Linked DNA regions of Schizosaccharomyces pombe. Changing the gene in region 1 together with any one later gene gives a genetic interaction. Each region holds a gene or a part of one and is shown on either strand. Other genes may lie near its edges.

Region 1 (7,373 bases):
GTCACCCTTGAAAAGGAAACCAATGTTTACTTCAGTATTGCATCCCTTGTAATCGTATTCAACTCCCAAAGCTTCTTGAACAAATTCTTGGTTCAAGTAACTCTCAATTGCACCGGTTTCGGGGTAGCATAAGTGCTCTTGGTCACGGCATTCTTCACGAATATCATAAATGTTGAGTCCAGTCTTAGTAAATGGTCCAATCATAGCGTTATTGCAATACAAAGAGGCACCAATGCAAACAGGAGTAAAGCCAGTCTGGTAACAGCCAGTGATTAGCTTAGCGCAGGTATCATAGGCACCAGTAATGCGATCACATTCCTCTTGGGACATAATAGGACCGTAAGGGCTCTCGCAAGCCATTTTTCCGTAAAAGTAGTATTGGACCAAAGGATCAGTCAAACCATTTCCAATCAAGACACTCTTCAAATTGATGTATTGCTTCTCCATTTCATAGCCGCTGGCAACAAAGAAGTTAGCACCTTGGTTATGCTCCATAATTTCCTTGGCAAACTGGGGGATGTAATGGCCAGCATAGGATTCACCAGCAATGTGAAAGTCCAAATGAGCGTACTGAGGGAACTTGGCAAAGAAAAGGTTCAAGAATGCATAAACATCCTTACCAGCCGTAACAGTGTCAAGAACCGAGTCATCTCCGTTGCTGAAACCCGTGTTGATAGGTTGATCCAAAAAGATAACTGAAGCATTGGAGTTCCAACTGTGAGGGTTATATTCGGGTTTAAGAGTCTCAATGTTGATTGAAGAAGGACCTAATTCCATGAACAAACCAGTAAGGGAAGAGCAACCAGGACCACCGTTCAACCACAACACGACGGGATCATTCTCGGGATCATTTCTAGATTCAAAGAACCAGAAGAAAAGATGTCTGTCATCTTCGACATCTAAGTAACCGGTGTATTGCTTAACAGTGTCAATACCAAGTGATTCAGGTTTGGAATCTTTAACGCGAAGAGTGTGATCAGGGAAAGCCTTTAAATTTACATGTTCACCATTCTCTTCTTGTGAAAAAACAGCGTAGGGACGTGAAGAATCAGCAGGTTGAGCATTAGATGGCTTAGCAGGATGACTCTGGTCACGGAAAGCAGTCATAGGATCAATACCTTCAGCCTTGAGCATTTCAAGGTAGGCAAATTGTTCAGGAGTGAGATCACTCAACTCCAAATCATCGTCGAATTCAAATAGGGGGGGAATTGATGAATCCTTTGGGGCATTTTCTTGAATATGTACAGGAATGTTACCATAGTATTCAATACCAAGAGTGTCTAAAAAGCGAGAAAACTCTTCGGCAATTTCTTCAACAGGAACAGAATTGATGAGGTCAGCGAAAGCCTCAATGACCAAAAGCTCATGAGAACTTTGCATGTTTTGCTCAGGACGTTCGTTGTGCTTCTCCTTAGGTCCTTGATGGTGCTCCTTGTCCTTAGGTCCCTTGTGGTGCTCCTTGTCCTTAGGTCCCTTGTGGTGCTCCTTATCCTTAGGTCCCTTATGGTGCTCCTTATCCTTAGGTCCCTTATGGTGCTCCTTATCCTTAGGTCCCTTATGGTGCTCCTTATCCTTGGGTCCCTTATGGTGTTCCTTGTCCTCAGGTCCACGATGATGCTCAGGACCTTCATGCTCCTCAAGCTCATGGTGTTTGAAAGGAGGAGGAGGCATGTGCTCTCCAGGCTCGTGATGCATAGGAGGAGGAGGCATGTGCTCTCCAGGCTCGTGATGCATAGGAGGAGGAGGCATGTGCTCTCCAGGTTCGTGGTGCATAGGAGGAGGAGGCATGTGCTCTCCAGGTTCGTGGTGCATAGGAGGAGGAGGCATGTGCTCTCCAGGCTCGTGATGCATAGGAGGAGGAGGCATGTGCTCTCCAGGTTCGTGGTGCATAGGAGGAGGAGGCATGTGCTCTCCAGGTTCGTGGTGCATAGGAGGAGGAGGCATGTGCTCTCCAGGTTCGTGGTGCATAGGAGGAGGAGGCATGTGCTCTCCAGGTTCGTGGTGCATAGGAGGAGGAGGCATGTGCTCACCGGGCTTGTGGTGCATAGGAGGAGGAGGCATGTGCTCACCAGGCTCGTGATGAGCAGGGAACTCTCGATCCTCATCGTCAAATTCATGATGCTTGGGACGCTCGTCATCAAAGAAAACAGAGTCATCCTCGGGTTTAGGGTGAGACTTCTTTCCCTTTCCCTTAGCATGTTTACCCTTATGGTGCTTTCCTTTTCCTTTGCATTTACCGTGCTTTCTGCGGGGAGCATCCTCATCAGCTGAGTCATGAGGGCGCTTCTCGCGAACGTGTTCATCCTCATCATCGTCAAAGATATTGTCGAGACGATCAGAAACGGTGTGAAGGAAATCACGAGCAGGCTGAAGGAAAGAGTCAAGCTTGTCTTTAAATCCAGGGTGTTCTAAGGCAGTATCATCTTCAAAGTCATCATTAAACTCGTGATGACCCTTGGGGTGATGAGGAGCCTCAGCTTCATCACGCTCGGGAACGGGATTCATAAGAGGAGCAGAGCTTTCCTCTTGCTCACGGATGAAATCCTCCCCAAATTTCTCGTAAAAATCTTTGGGAACGACGATATCACCACCATTTTGCTCAGGAGGAACATAACCGTTAAACTGAGCGGATACGACGCAAGTGAGCAAAAAGTACAAGAAGGTTTGTTTCATTAACATCTTGTTTCAATGTACAGTATAGAAAGGAGAGAAACAAAAGGAAATGAAATATTCGTACAACAAGCTAACCAAATAGACCGAACTTCTCAAACAATCAATTGATAGATACAAATCTGTATGTACTGGATTAAAAAAGAAATTGCAAATTAGCCAAATCAGATAACTGTTAGGCAAAATGAGCTATATGGATAGATTAAAAAGAAAAATAAACAATGAGAAAAAGAATGTATTTAACTCAATGTCGATTGCGAAGCCTCACGTCTTACAGTGTGATTACAAGCACTAAAGGCAATGTGGATATCGCAATAAATAACTAGACAGAAAACCACAAAAAGTAGCAAATTCTTAAACAAACGTATTTACGATCGTTTTGCTGCTTTTCCCTCTTCAGATCACTTTACTGGTTCTAGGGTTCGATGGCGTTAATGTGTGCTTGGTTAAGGAGAAAAGTAAGCGGCAGGCAACAATCGCTATATATATGAAGGGTTAAGCATAAGTCCAGAAGCGTGACGCAGACGCCTCGCATGAATCATCATGTTCTAAGCCCCTTCGCAATCCTCCTTAGATATCGCTGCAAATACTTTACAATGTCTTTATACGCTAATAACGAAATATAATGAAAAAAGTAGCTTCGCTTGCAGTTAGCAAACAGGAAAATCACATCTGATAATATTTATTAAACAAAAAGAAAGGTAAACATGTGGATCAAGTTATTCTTAGTTGAATTATTGGATTCAATTAAACCTTAAACAGACAGTATAAAATATAAAAACACGCTCTTGTTATTAATTGTTTTGCAGTCATCAAGTACTTGACTAACTCTTTGCAGAAGCAATGGATATTTATCTTTGGAGAGTAAAATTGAGAAGCAAAGTACACAAAACTCAAGGTAGCAAATCTATAATGCCTAGACAATTATCTTGTATTGCTAGTTTGTGAAACAATGAATATGCATTCGCTTTATTGTGACTAATTCGTCCTGGTACGAATTGAAAAAGTAACTGGCCAAGCGGTTTCCGTGACAAAAATGGGTCAAAATACACAACATTATGTGATTTAGCTCCACTATACTAGGGCTATTCTTCTATAACCCGAGAACGTTGCTCGGCAAGTATACCGACATGATATATATACCTTATAATGTGTAGCAAAACTGGAAGGAGCGAGGGCGAAGATGAAAGCGATACAAAAAAAAACTATAAATAAATATATATATATAAAGAAATGTCAGCAAAGATCGAGTGTCTAGCAAGTACAAAAGTTTGTTTCTTCCGGTTTGACTACTTCAAACGAGGGCTTAGAAGTGGCTATGCTGTTTGTTTTACAGTTTCCCAGCACTGGAAATTAAAAAAAAGGGCAAAACAATACAATAGCGGCTGGCAAAACGGATGGAATTGGTCCTTTGTCTTGCACGAGGAAAAAACATGACAAGTAAAAAAAAAATTTGCAATTGGGTTTAAAAGTTAAGAGACAAATGCCATTTATTAGAACAATTAAATTTTATAAAAAAAGAATAGAAAAATAATTGTTAAAGATAGAATATAGCTAATGCATGATACAATAGAATTTGAACCTCTTAGAATATTGGTTGCTGATTCCAAAGGTGAAAAGCAGCTGCTAAAATGCCATTCCTAGTGCATTGATAAAGATTTTAATTTAGAAAAACTTAGTTCTATTTTTTCTTTGATTTTGAAATTTAAAGCATAGCAATGAGTAGCATAATATGGTGTTCGATATTTTTAAGGGATCTGTCTAGCAGCTGTGAGATATTCTTGAGCATGGTGTAACAACCATTGCTTTTCATGGGGAACTAATAGTAGAATTTATTAGTATCAAAATCAAACTGATAAATGAGAGAAACTGCTTACTATATGCACGAAAATGCCGATCGTATACCAAAGGAACGCAATCATAGATCTCGTCGAAAAAGTTGAAAAACCTTGAGACATCAATAGATTCCTTTTCGCTGACTGCTAAACATAAACGTCAGTCTAATGCAAGTTTTCATACGGTAAAGCTGAGTTTTCAATCCGGGACTTGGGAAAACATAGTTCATCGTCACTGAAATTTCCAACCAAAAAAGAAAAACAAAAATCGTACGTACCTTGATTTGTTTGGTAAACACCGACTATATCTAATATCACGTTAACAAATGATTTCCAATAAGTAGCGCATCCTCTACAAGGAGGACGAAAGATAATATTCATACACTCAATAGCAGAACGCAAGCTGCAATGGTCGCTCCATATACGAGTTTTTGGATCCGACTGATTAGGAGTTAGTGAAATCTTTAATTATCCTACAATCTAATGACATACTCCTTGTTGTATTAATAAAATGCTGTAAGCAAAATCTAGTTAGCGAATAGCCCTTGCATAGTGTACATAAGTGTCTTGAAGCTTTTCTGGCATTCGGGGAACATACATATGAGATTCTGCTGGTGGAGGCGACATTACGAGCCAAGTATTTTGAAGTATCTTCTGTTTTTATCGAGCAAGGATTAAGACCGCCTCTCAAACACACCGTCTAGCTTAATATCACCCTATTTTTATTTTCAATTTATCTGTTTGAAAATTATTTGCTATTGTCACACAAATTATTGTCAGAACGACTCTTTGTACTTTCAGGTGGGTAGCACAGTTATTGAGTAGCGATTTCGCTTTCCTTCTACAGTAGCATCCGTCACGCACTCTATCAGTTCGTTTACTTTGCAGTTCTCACAATTTAATATACTTCAAATATTATAATTATTTTTAGAAGTCATCTTCCAATCTTACTATATACTTTATCTAACTCGCTGATTTGAATAACTCGTAACACCTCTTTACCCATATCTCTTTCCTTCGAATTGCTTAGTGAAAGACCCTTTCTTTCTATTTTGTTTATTTTTCTGACTCTTTTTTTTATTTCTTTACATGTTGACTTTAAGAAGTGCTTGTCAGTTGACAACAAAAAACCTGGGACTTCATAAATGCATCTCCAAAACGGTCATTTCCGCTCTAGGAAGGAGAGGCTATCATAGTGAAAATTACGAAACCTCTAAGATATCCGGAAAGAAGGCTTTAATTTTAGAAAATGCTCTTGAACATGTTCCTCAACTGGGGTTCACGGAAGATGCAATCGTGCAAGGTGGTCAGGCCCTTGGCTATAGTAATCTCTCCAAGGCCCTCTTTCCTTCTGGTCCAATGGATTTGATTTCGTACTTTTTCCTGAAGCAGCGCTACGCTCTTAGTTCATTAAAGCCTCATTTGACCACTATCCCCGAAACATCTGGACGTGTTGTCCAGCTTATTTGGTCTCGTCTGCAAGGAAATAGGGATATTGTTCAGCATCTTCCGCAGATGATTGCAATTTGTACATACCCTTCAAACTTGCGAAAATCATTATCCTCTCTGGCTGAACTGTCAGATGAGATTCTTTACCTCGCGCAAGATAAGTCAGCCGATTTTCAATGGTACACGAAACGTGCTGCTATCTCTGCCATTTACTCTGCATCTGAGTTATTTATGAGTCGTGATACTTCTCCTAATTTTGAGGCGACTTATAACTTTGTTCAACATCGCATTCAACATGCAAAAGCCTTAAATGACTTACGCAACGATGTCTTGGAATGGGGTTCCTTTCAGCTGAATGCTGTGAGATCAATCCTTCGTTCAAGGGGAATTTAAAATTCACTGCTACTCCTTTTGCTTGTTGGTTTAACAAATCAGCTTGATTCAACTTTACGTTATGCAAGAAATAAATGCAATTTCATTTCCTACAATATTTAAGTTTTTTTGGCTAATTGTTTTCTCCATATATCGGTAGTTATTGTTGAATGTACTCTTTGATTCGAAACTTCATTTGAACAGTGTTTACCTTAAAAAAATCTATAGAAAAATCCTTATATATTCACGGGTTGATAACAAATTAACTTCAGTAAAACATTTAATAGAAACACACACTTTGACTAATGCTACCTTTACTACTTGTATATTCTGTTTTTTTACTACCTTGAACTTACTATTCTGACTCTTCCTGAGGTAACCTGTGACTTTGAAATAATTAGCTAAAACTGACAAGACACAGGCGTAGTTAAAGAACTCCAAAAATGAAAACATAGTAGCAATCAAAGCATCCCACTATTTTTTGTCTCTCGTTTCATTAGCGTTGTAAATTACTGATACCCTACTATACCTCTACAAGGCCTTTGTCATCTTTTTACTCAAGTGTGAAATCATCACTTATTGTATGAAGGATGAGCTTTCCGTTCGCTAGTTTGCTGAAAAGGCCTTCTGCAATAAGCTCTCTATTATCTTTAAAAAAACCTGGTTCCTGGTCTTCCATTCTGCTAAAAGCTGTAGGGGTTTTATCACGAGATTCCCGTTGGCATTCTGACTTATTAAAAATGCTTACAGAAGAAATGGATTCTTTAAATGGTCAAATTAATACGTGGACAGATAATAATCCTTTATTAGATGAAATTACGAAGCCATACAGAAAATCTTCAACTCGTTTTTTTCATCCGCTTCTTGTACTTCTAATGTCTAGAGCATCAGTAAATGGGGATCCACCGAGTCAGCAACTATTTCAAAGGTACAAACAACTTGCCCGTGTAACAGAATTGATTCATGCTGCCAATATAATTCATATTAATATTGGAGAAGAACAAAGCAACGAACAGATTAAACTTGCAACGTTGGTTGGAGATTATT
Region 2 (10,137 bases), on another chromosome or scaffold:
ATGATAACAACACGATGTTTCGAGACTGAAAAAAATTTTAACGCCGCTTATTAAATTTTTTTCCTTATAGCTACCAAAAGTTTCTGGGGTTTTAATGTCAAACATTTTTTTCATCGAGTTACTAGACATGGGATAAACAGTAGCATTAATTCAAAACCTAGAATTTCTTGGCAAATTTAAATAGTGTTTAATGCTCCATATATTGTTTTGAGTTCTGTGACTTAATCATGCTGAATACACGAAAAAAGGCTTGCAGCTTTAAAGTCTTACTACACAGACCAGCTAAGAATGGAGTTTTAAGTTTTTAATAACTGAGAACAAGTAAAGCTTTGTGAAACATGAGTTATTCACAATTGGACGCGTTATTTCCGTAAATTTTAGGATTTGACGATGAAGAGTTTAAAATATTTGTTTAGGCTCTAATGTGTTTGTGATATTAAGGACTTATCAATTGTTGAAATATTATTCATCATTTTTATACGCTATTATGAATTTTAAAATCAGAAGCTGCTTGAGGGTTTTAGAGATGTGTTGTGAAGTGGGAGAAATATTTTCGCGTTGATAAGTGTTAGCCTTAATAAGTTAGCACACACTATTTATGCATACACAAACGTATTCTGTAGAACTTAATCAAAAGTGTGTTTAAACGCATAATTCTTCTTAAAATCTTTCAATAGAGAATTAAAATATAAAAGAAGTTTCTGAAATATGTGATTTAAATTTCAATATTTTTTTAGTAGATGAACTAGCGTACAATTCACGAAGACGTTAGAATACGCTAATTTTTCCAAGTGTGATACTTTATATCTAGGAATAACTGGTACATCCATGCGTAATTTGAGCCTCAATGTTAGTACTGTTTAGATTTCGATCAGCTTTTCATAGTCATTAGCACTTCATTTCTAATATACCTATTACTTTTTATAGAAAGAAAGAAATTGTCTTTATATATCTTGATTGGCCTACCTGTCTACTCATTACCATTTATGTATGGCCCCTATTTTATTTATCAAATAATGAATGATAATGTACAATACACTATCCTGATATAGTGATATGTTACTATATGTTAAAAATATTCGAATTTTACAAATGTAAAGGATTGGAGAAAAGCTTGAAGTTTACTAGAAAAGGAAAATGAAATTTTTTAGAATCAAAATTCCTTAAAACTGTAAATCTAAAAATTATTTAATGATTCAATATCTACTTTACGCTCATATTTCTTAATAATGAGTAAGTCGATTGGGAGTAGCATTAATCATAGACATCGACTCAAAAAATAGAATAGTTGTTGATATTTTATTAAGAGTTCTTAAAACTTGTATCAAAAAATAAAAGAAAGTAATTATAAGTTCTCAATTGATATTGTGGTCAAGTTGAGTCATTACGATGACTTTAAAAAAAAAAATCAACCGAATATAAATTTACACACTATCACGCATTGTTTCCCAATAGCACCGTGTCCTCTGGTTTTTTAATAACGTTGCAGCTATCCGATGTATTTCGCATACTTAGAGAACTCTTCATCAATTCTCAATTTCTTCATGTCCTCCTCCCTTAAACAAATAGCAACTGTAATTCCACCTTCCAAGTCTTTCGGCATAAAGTAAATCAAGCCCTCTATCGGGATAAACTGGGGTCTCCGTACAGCCTCTGGTTTTCCCAATCCTAGGTTAAACTCAAGCTCATAACTATTCAACTTAGCCCATGAACTCAAAGCAATATCGGTATTTGGATCAAGGTTTGAGCAAAAGGAGATTAGATTTTTATTTGGACTACGATGAATTAAAGTCGCAAGTGCACTCGATTCATAAGCCCGTGTTTTTGGATCCAAAGCTGAACGAAGCTTCGATGCAAGGCCACCCAAAGGCTCCTTCATCAACTCTTCAATTACACATCTCTGTGACTTCATGTTAAGCATTAGTCCTGGATACGTTGGTGAAATATTGCAGTACTGCCGTACATCAACAGCACGACAAAGTGTGGATGTGGCTGTAGGGTTCAATCGAGAAATGCAGCAGCGAATAATGGCTTACCAGACGAATGTGGTAAGGGAATCGTCGGTGGATATATATTCTGAGGCAAACGACGAGGGGAGAGTTTTTGTAGCCAGTGTTTTAAGAGCGGTGAGTGAGTTATGGTCGAAGCAAAAGTAACTCCAAATACATTTAGGAGGAGGAGGATGTGATTTATCAACGCTTTCAAGTTCGGAATAAAAAGGAGGTGACTTCAAAATGAAATGATCCATCTCAGAACCTGGTTCGTAAGAGTCTTCGAGTAAAGGGATAAGGTTGTAACGGGGAAGGTTACCATCGCTAGTAAATGGTTCATTGCAACAAGCTTTAGAAAAGAGGTTGATAACCTAACCTTGGCCGGTCATATCCATTGCATTGTGCTGACCGACAAACGTAAGCACGAGACCACCAGTGATGAAACTGGCTTGGACAAGGAAAACTGGATCTGAGCCTAACGTTTGTTCATCAGGATCTCCTGGAATCGTTTTGCGAGGTGCGAAAATACTTTCGTTCAGCATACTGAAAGGAAAATCGGCTTTTCTGAGCGCGTCCATGGAGGGTATAGAAGGGACATGCTGAAGATCTTTGACAAAGAAAGGAGGCGTTTTCTCATACGGTTTAATCTTGAATATATTAAAGCTTTTTCCTTCTGAACTTTCGTGAACAACCTGACCAGCTAGCCACGGAAAACTGGCTGACAGACGCTCAAGTCCATTTGTCAGCGTCTCAATAATTGCTGAATGTGAGGAATCATCATCGACTATTGGAAAACAAAAGGATATCTGGGTATAGATTTTAAGTGATAATTGCTGTGCTAAAACATCCGCGAAATCATAGTTGTTTCATCCATGATATTGGTTGCACTAATATGTAGTGGGCTGATATAGCGTACATGGGTATGGTATGGGTACGACTCTCTGTAGCAGGCTCAATTAAGCAGCTTGCTTAAGAAAAGGAACTGTAGGGTTTCTCAATACATTTTGCCAACTGAAGGACCATGTAGCATTGAGTATTTTTTGTAGGTTACAAGGTAATCGCGGCAATGTGAGTTACGTGTTGAAAGAATTTTGGAGTCGAACTCAAGTCCAGCAGAAATGTCTATTTTTATACATATTGGCTCAACCTCCATCTACACTCATATGTTAAAATGGTTAAACATATAACGCACTCAAGCACATTAGAATCCATCAAAAAAACAATCAAGGGTTACAAGATGAACGTTTATGGCTTAAAAAAAACCATCTCTGCATCTAACTGCATCAAGAATTCTTAACCCAAATAATGTACGTCGAGCTATTAGTAAAAGCCTGTTTTTGTTTATAGTCTTAATGTTTAACTAAAAAAGCTGGGTCTCTAGGGAAAAGTATACTATTAAAATCAGCAAATACGGTATATTTTAGATTTATAGTCATGATTATTCAATAATTCGTTCAATATAAAAGGCATAACAAAGAGTAATAGGCACTGCTAATAATTGTGCATTTTTTGAAATAGTCAGAATCCTCTGGAGAATAAAGTGCTATCTTCTTATCAGATGAAGATAAACTCACTTAGGCCTATCAAGCAAAACGTAACTTTAGTAACAAAAGGAGCTTGAAGATCTTAAAGATAATTTGTATTAAATCATAATTGCTAAATAAATTAATAAAAGGGAATATGTGGTATTGGAGTTTCGCCCGTAATTTTGGCAGTTAAAAAATGGCGACACGGTTAAAACAAGTAGGTAAGGGTGGGTAAGTAGTTTTGAAGATGGAAAGAATATTGAAAGGTTGCAACAGGTTAGGCTGTAATTTAAACAAGTAAAAAATCACTTTTTATTATATTCACAGTTTTTTGACTTTTTTTTTTTATTTTCCAGTCGTTATACAAGGATCGTCGTAAACTAAGATACAACAGGGTAAGTTACTCATCGCTTTCAGGTAAACAAGAACACTGTCTTTTTATGATGATTCATTTTGAATTCGGACACAAAAAGCAGAAACGGGAGACCCAAAGAAATCAAGCTTTTCGTACTACTTCAAACCGGAGGAATTAAGTCTTAAACGGTTCAATAATGCATTTAATATGGGCAGAAGCACATAACGATATCCCACACTAGGAAAGCCCAAAGCAAGGCTAATTAATCCAAGCAACGAACCAAACGTCAAACTAAACATCAACGAGAATAAAAGTACAATTAGGCTAAATTTAAGAAATACACTTTGATGTTTAAACCATTGATAGCCCTCTTTGGATACCTCTTCAATAGACGAGTAGCTATAGCGCGACATAAGACTAGGACGACCATCATTTTCTAGATGTGGAGATTGCCCAATTGGAGATTCATCCTTCAATTCTCTTTTGATATCGATATTCTGTTCAGTCATTTTGTTTTGTGGCAATTTAGTTTAATATTCAATGTGTTCCAAAAGAAAAATAAACGTTAATAAAGGTAACTGTTGTATTATTAGACAATAGTCCTTAGCAATCTATTTAAATGTAACAATTGCTTTAGTAATTTATACTTTTTCTCTTTTAAAGTCAGTGAACCGTTGTTGGGAAAAGTCAAGAATCAAGGTTAGAAACATATACGTATTCATTTTATTTACGCCTTCCCCCACATTGGATATTGCCAACAATGAACAATGACATTAAACTTCTGCAGAGGCGAAAATAATGCTATACATTCATTTTATTTATTAAAATGATTTATGAGCGAATTGCCTTCTTCCAACAGTCAAACTCGAATTCCCCTTCACTAAAACATACGGGAACTGTTTTGCGCAGTGTCCACTATTGGGAAATGGAAAAATCGAATTTGCTAGACGAATATGGATGGAATTCTTGTCTATTCCTTTTTCTATTTTTTGTTTGATTTTTTAAATAAATTAGCTTGTTTATCGAATTTATCTGGATGGGGTTTATCGTTAAAAAAAAACACCCTACCCAAAAAAAAAAAATTTATTTATTTTTATAAGTATTTTTATTCATTAACCTTCTTCTGGCATACGAGTCACAATCAACCTTTTAATTTTGACAATAATATAATAGAAATAAAATAAATTTTCAGTCGTGGTAATTTCTATTACATATTCGTTTAATGTAATGTGTTTTGACATTACTAAAATGGGATGAAAACATCCTTTTACGAGTCTATTTAATCATACAGAAAAAATGGCATTGAAGATGCAATTAATGAATGGAATTCATTTGATAAATGTATTCAATGGAAGGATAATGCTTCCAAAATAAGGATGGTCAAAATTTAACTCAAGATTGTTAAAACAAGGTTGTAATCGGAGTTTTCCGTTTTATTGAAAAACATATCCCCTTATGTCTTATGACTATTTTAATTGAATAACATAATTCAAATGCCTTTTGTTGCCTTCTATGCACATATGTGAACGTAAATCTAGCGCATCATTTTATAATACAGTTAGTAGGCCGAAACATACAAGCATATAACAAAGATAAATCAACTTCTTCGAGGAAGCATATTCCCTTGATCATGCTCAACAGTTTCTAACTTCAATACAAGCTTTTTTTATTCATTTATTTAACTATTTGTTGCTACACATACTAGTTTGTTTATGTATCATATTCATTGTCGGCATGGCAACGTGGATTTATTTACGCGCAGCGCGTACTCATTTAACCAGCACCACGTATATTCATTTTTACAAATACCCAGCTTATATCGTAGTGAGGAGGCGAATTTTGCGAAAGAAAGCATTTCTTTCATTTTAATATTTATTAATTTTTTGTTTATTTTTGTTCTTTTTTGATTCCCCTCTTTTTTTTGTCTTTACTCTTTAATTTCTTTCTATCTTTTTCTCCTAATCATATTAAGCTTCTTATGTTCTATTCAGAGGCCATTCTTTCAAAAAAGGTATGTAGTTTATAAGTTTTCTTTAGCGCGTAAACAGTGCTAATTTGTCTTTGAATCGTCTGACTAACTGTTCGCGTTAGGGTCCTTTGGCCAAGGTATGGTTGGCAGCTCACTGGGAAAAGAAACTTTCCAAAGTGCAAACTTTGCACACCAGTATTGAGCAAAGCGTCCATGCAATTGTCACGGAGGAAACCGCTCCAATGGCCCTTCGCCTATCAGGACAACTAATGTTGGGTGTTGTTCGCATTTATTCCAGAAAGGCTAGGTATTTATTGGAGGATTGTACGGAAGCGTTGATGCGTTTGAAAATGTCCTTTCAACCGGGTCAGGTTGATATGATTGAACCAGCTACTGCTCTCCAATCTTTAAAAGGTAAAGATGCTGTGACACAGAGCGCTAATCTCACTCTTCCTGAGACAATTACAGAGTTTGATCTTTTGGTACCTGATAGTACATTTGATTTTCAATGGTCTCAACTTCTTCGTACACCCTCTCGTTCTTCGAACACTCTTGAACTACATTCTTTACCAATATCTTCCTCTCCTTCTTTTCCATCTTCCCAGCTATCAATTGAGGCTGGACGAAATGCCCAAGTAGAATCAGGGTTTTCCTTGGGCGAATCATTCGCACATGTTGGCAATGATATGCAGTTTCATCTTCCCATTTCAAATTCCGGTGCTGCTACACCTAGAAGTGTGCACTCTGATAATCAGTCCCAAATTTCTATAGAAGTAGGTAGAGATGCTCCTGCTGCTGCTGCCACCGATTTAAGTGGAATTATTGGGCCTCAAATGACTAAGTCGCCGGCTAGTTCAGTCACTCATTTTAGTACGCCAAGCATGCTACCAATAGGAGGAACTTCATTGGATGATGAATTGTTGGCTCCTGTTGATGATTTAAACCTGGATTTGGGCTTAGATGATCTTTTAGGAGATGAACAAGGTGCTAATGCTCCGGCGATAGAGGCTGATGAACAAGCTGAAACATCAAGTATTCATCTCCCTTCTGACATTATGGAAGATGATTCATCTCGTCCTGCAGCAGCAGGAGTAGAGGAAGGTCAGGTTGTTGAAAGCGCCACTGCTCCTCAACAGGAAAAGATCAATCCACAGAAAACTGTACGTCGTCAACGTGCAATTATTGATCCCGTTACTGAATTGTCCTCCAAGCAAATGAAAAAACAATTGGCAGATACATCTTCCATCACCTCACCGTTATGCTTGAATACATCTTCCATCGTGTTTAATGCCACCGTTAATTTTACTCGAAACGGTAAATTTAATACTTCCATATTTTCTTCCAACCTGAACCCTAAAGTAAACGAGCTTTTGCAAGCTGATTTCAAACAGGCAATTCTAAGAAAGAGAAAAAATGAGAGCCCAGAGGAAGTCGAGCCTGCCAAGCACCAACGTACTGATACCTCAACTGAAAACCAAGAAACTGCTGAAGTCTTGGACCCTGAAGAAATTGCAGCCGCTGAGCTTGCCAACATTACTGAAGCCGCTATCGCTACTTTACCACAAGAAACCGTTGTTCAACCAGAAGGAGAAGCTCCTGAGCTTGGTTCGCCAATGGGATTTCCTGTTACTGCCTTGGAATCAGCCGATGATTCACTTTTTGACGCTCCTCCCGTAATGCTGGACGAGGCCGATTTGCTGGGAAGCGAACGATTGGACTCTTCGGTATCTGAGGCCCTTCCTAGTTCACAAACAGCCAAAGATTCTCTACGCAATAAGTGGGATCCTTATACTGAAGGTGAAAAAGTATCCTTCCAAACTCTTAGTGCGGGATGCAATAGAGAGGAAGCTGTTCAACTTTTCTTTGATGTCCTCGTTTTAGCGACGAAGGATGTTATATCTGTCAAGCAGGATGTTGCCATTCAGAACGAAATCACGCTTACTGCTAAACGTGGAATGCTACTTTCATCACTATGAGAGGTCGGTTAATATTTTTTCAAAATCCAATTAGATCTATAAATAAGTGTGAATACTTACACGAAATAGATTTTTATGACAGTAATATTGTTCATTGCTTTCTTTTATCTTTATTTTATTTTTGGAATCACGAGTTGTATGTCTTTCTTTTTCCGAGTTACGATATTACTGTTGGATGTATGTAATATTATCAGCTCAACACAAAGTTATGATTAGAAATAGCTTACGCGCTTTTTAATTTATTCTCAATGATTGATCTATCTCTTAAAAATCTTCCTTTCAATGCGATGATACGGGTTTACTAGGATTGAATATATAAAGACAATATGATCATATTATATTAGGCGTATCTTTTTTGTACCCAATGGTTGAGAATTTGGAAGCGAGGAAGCTACGGTAACTTGCATACCTTTGGAGCGCGCCCAATCTATTGCATCTCTAGAAACAGAATCACAATTAATAATATCTATACGTTTTAATTCTTTCAGTCCTCGTAAAACTGCTATAAATCCCGATCCATCGAGGGATATTGAATTTGAAAAGTTCACATACTTTAGATTTGGACAACAATCAGTAATGTGTATTGCATGCTTATTTTGAAGAGCAACGTTATCAGGAATCTCAAGATGCTCAAGTTCCGGTAAAGATGCAAATATTTCAAAGAAATGGGGGGCCAATGCTAGCGAATCGTGTAGAACCAGCTTTTTTAGTTTGTAACAAGAAGTCAAAAATTTGACAACATTATCGATATCATTTTGAGATAAACGAAGATAAAGAAATAACTCTAAGTTGATTAGTGATTCCATCCGGACATTTGTAGGGAATAAATATGGACATAAAATTGTAGATGCAGGATTGCAGGGTTTCACAATTAACGTGGTAAGAGATTGAGGAAGGAATGCTAGATCTTTAACAGTATTCGATACTCCTTCATCAATGATAATTAACGATCGGAGATTAATTTTATATTTTTTTATTGCAGCAACTAGGTCTGACTGATATGAGGCTTCCAGATATTCTAAATATGGACTGGCAGACAGCAAGTCTTTAAGAAATTGCTGTTCTTTATGGTGAAAGGGAAACTTTTGATTTCGGATAAACGTCAAAGATTTAAGAGCCAGCGGTACAGATTCTGCATTAAAGAGTTTATCCCAATCCATAGAATCAAATATCAAATCGGGAATTAAGTCAACAAGCTCAACCTGCTTGAGTTTCTTACAGCAAGATAAAATCTTAGAAGCTATGGAAAATGTTATAGGAGTAGCACAATAAAAGTAGTGAAGTTCAGAAAATGGCGTCCAAATTGTATACAATTTATCCGTTGACTGAGTGTGGAGAGGTGAAATGGTTTTGTAGACTTTAAGTGATTTGACTGAACGAAGTAAGGCTTTGGTAGGTGTTAATATACCAAGCTTCTCTAAGCCAATTACTTCCTGTATATTGTCTTTTGAATAAACAGAGTATCGAGCAACAGCCATAACGTTTCGATCTCTAGAGTTTACACTTCGAGGAGAGGCGCATGAAAAGTCTAAGCAACAAAATAAGCTAGGTTCTTTCTTAATACAGTCTCTCCAGTGTTTGCAGACTTGCATACACTGAACAATACTTTTGAAATTTAGTTGCTGTAGAATACATAATAGGACTTCTCGGGGAAGAATGCGAAACAAATCTAGTACCGGCCTGGTCCGAAGAATTCTTTCATTCAATCTTTGGCTTACTTTTTTTAATACCGGTCTCAAGGGATCCATTTTATGCACCATTCGCAGGCCTTGCGTATACAATTGATCTGCTTTCTTATCAAAGCCGTCAAGCTGTAAAAGTTTTCCCAAGCGTAGGTAACCTCTAGCATTTCTTGCATTCAAATGAATCATCCGTTTAGCATCAAGTTCTGCTTGTGAGTATTGACCTGACTTTTCGTAAACTTGAGCCCTTAGTTCAAACAAGTCAATCGTAGGATTGGGCTCCTGTTCGATGGTTTTAGTAATGAATGTCAATGCATCTTCAAACTTCCTTTTAGAGAGATATTGCTGGGTCTTCTCCTTTATTGCTTTTACTTGATAGTTATTCATGAATCCAAATCTTAATTTCTATACCCAACGATTTATTTTTTCTATACATAAACATAAACCTCCCATATAGCTTCCAATGAACCGTATTTTAAGAACCTCGATATCCTTTTTGAGGTATATATTATGCTTTCGTAGTCGCAAGCTTTATGGAGTAAGTTAGAATTGTTAAAGGATAGTTAAAGCTAGCGCCTTCAAATTTCATTTAAACAGAAATTGAATGTGCAAAAATACTAATAATAAGCATGTAACCA

Evidence for each region.
Region 2: of erh1 (region 1) and rad21, a mutation in one rescues a mutant of the other (synthetic rescue), as found in Schizosaccharomyces pombe (2 studies listed by BioGRID).

The regions. Positions count from the first base shown.
Region 1 is NC_003424.3:4,061,840-4,069,212, forward strand, and holds erh1 (protein erh1), read right to left. Parts: upstream 5,133-7,373; coding exon 5,104-5,132; intron 5,020-5,103; coding exon 4,998-5,019; intron 4,980-4,997; exon of another isoform or gene 4,947-4,979; coding exon 4,889-4,946; exon of another isoform or gene 4,814-4,888; coding exon 4,784-4,813; exon of another isoform or gene 4,653-4,783; coding exon 4,548-4,652; exon of another isoform or gene 4,490-4,547; coding exon 4,419-4,489; downstream 1-4,418. Other genes in the region: cpy1 (vacuolar carboxypeptidase Y), read right to left, coding at 1-2,679; ubiquinone biosynthesis protein Coq9, read left to right, coding at 5,595-6,347; decaprenyl diphosphate synthase subunit 2 Dlp1, read left to right, coding at 6,917-7,373.
Region 2 is NC_003421.2:1,337,242-1,347,378, forward strand, and holds rad21 (mitotic cohesin complex non-SMC subunit Rad21), read left to right. Parts: upstream 1-5,651; 5' UTR 5,652-5,850; coding exon 5,851-5,883; exon of another isoform or gene 5,884-5,963; coding exon 5,964-7,817; 3' UTR 7,818-8,152; downstream 8,153-10,137. Other genes in the region: SPOM_SPCC338.18 (uncharacterized protein), read right to left, coding at 4,028-4,381; F-box protein Pof3, read right to left, coding at 8,153-9,886. UniProt on the Schizosaccharomyces pombe protein: Cleavable component of the cohesin complex, involved in chromosome cohesion during cell cycle. The cohesin complex is required for the cohesion of sister chromatids after DNA replication.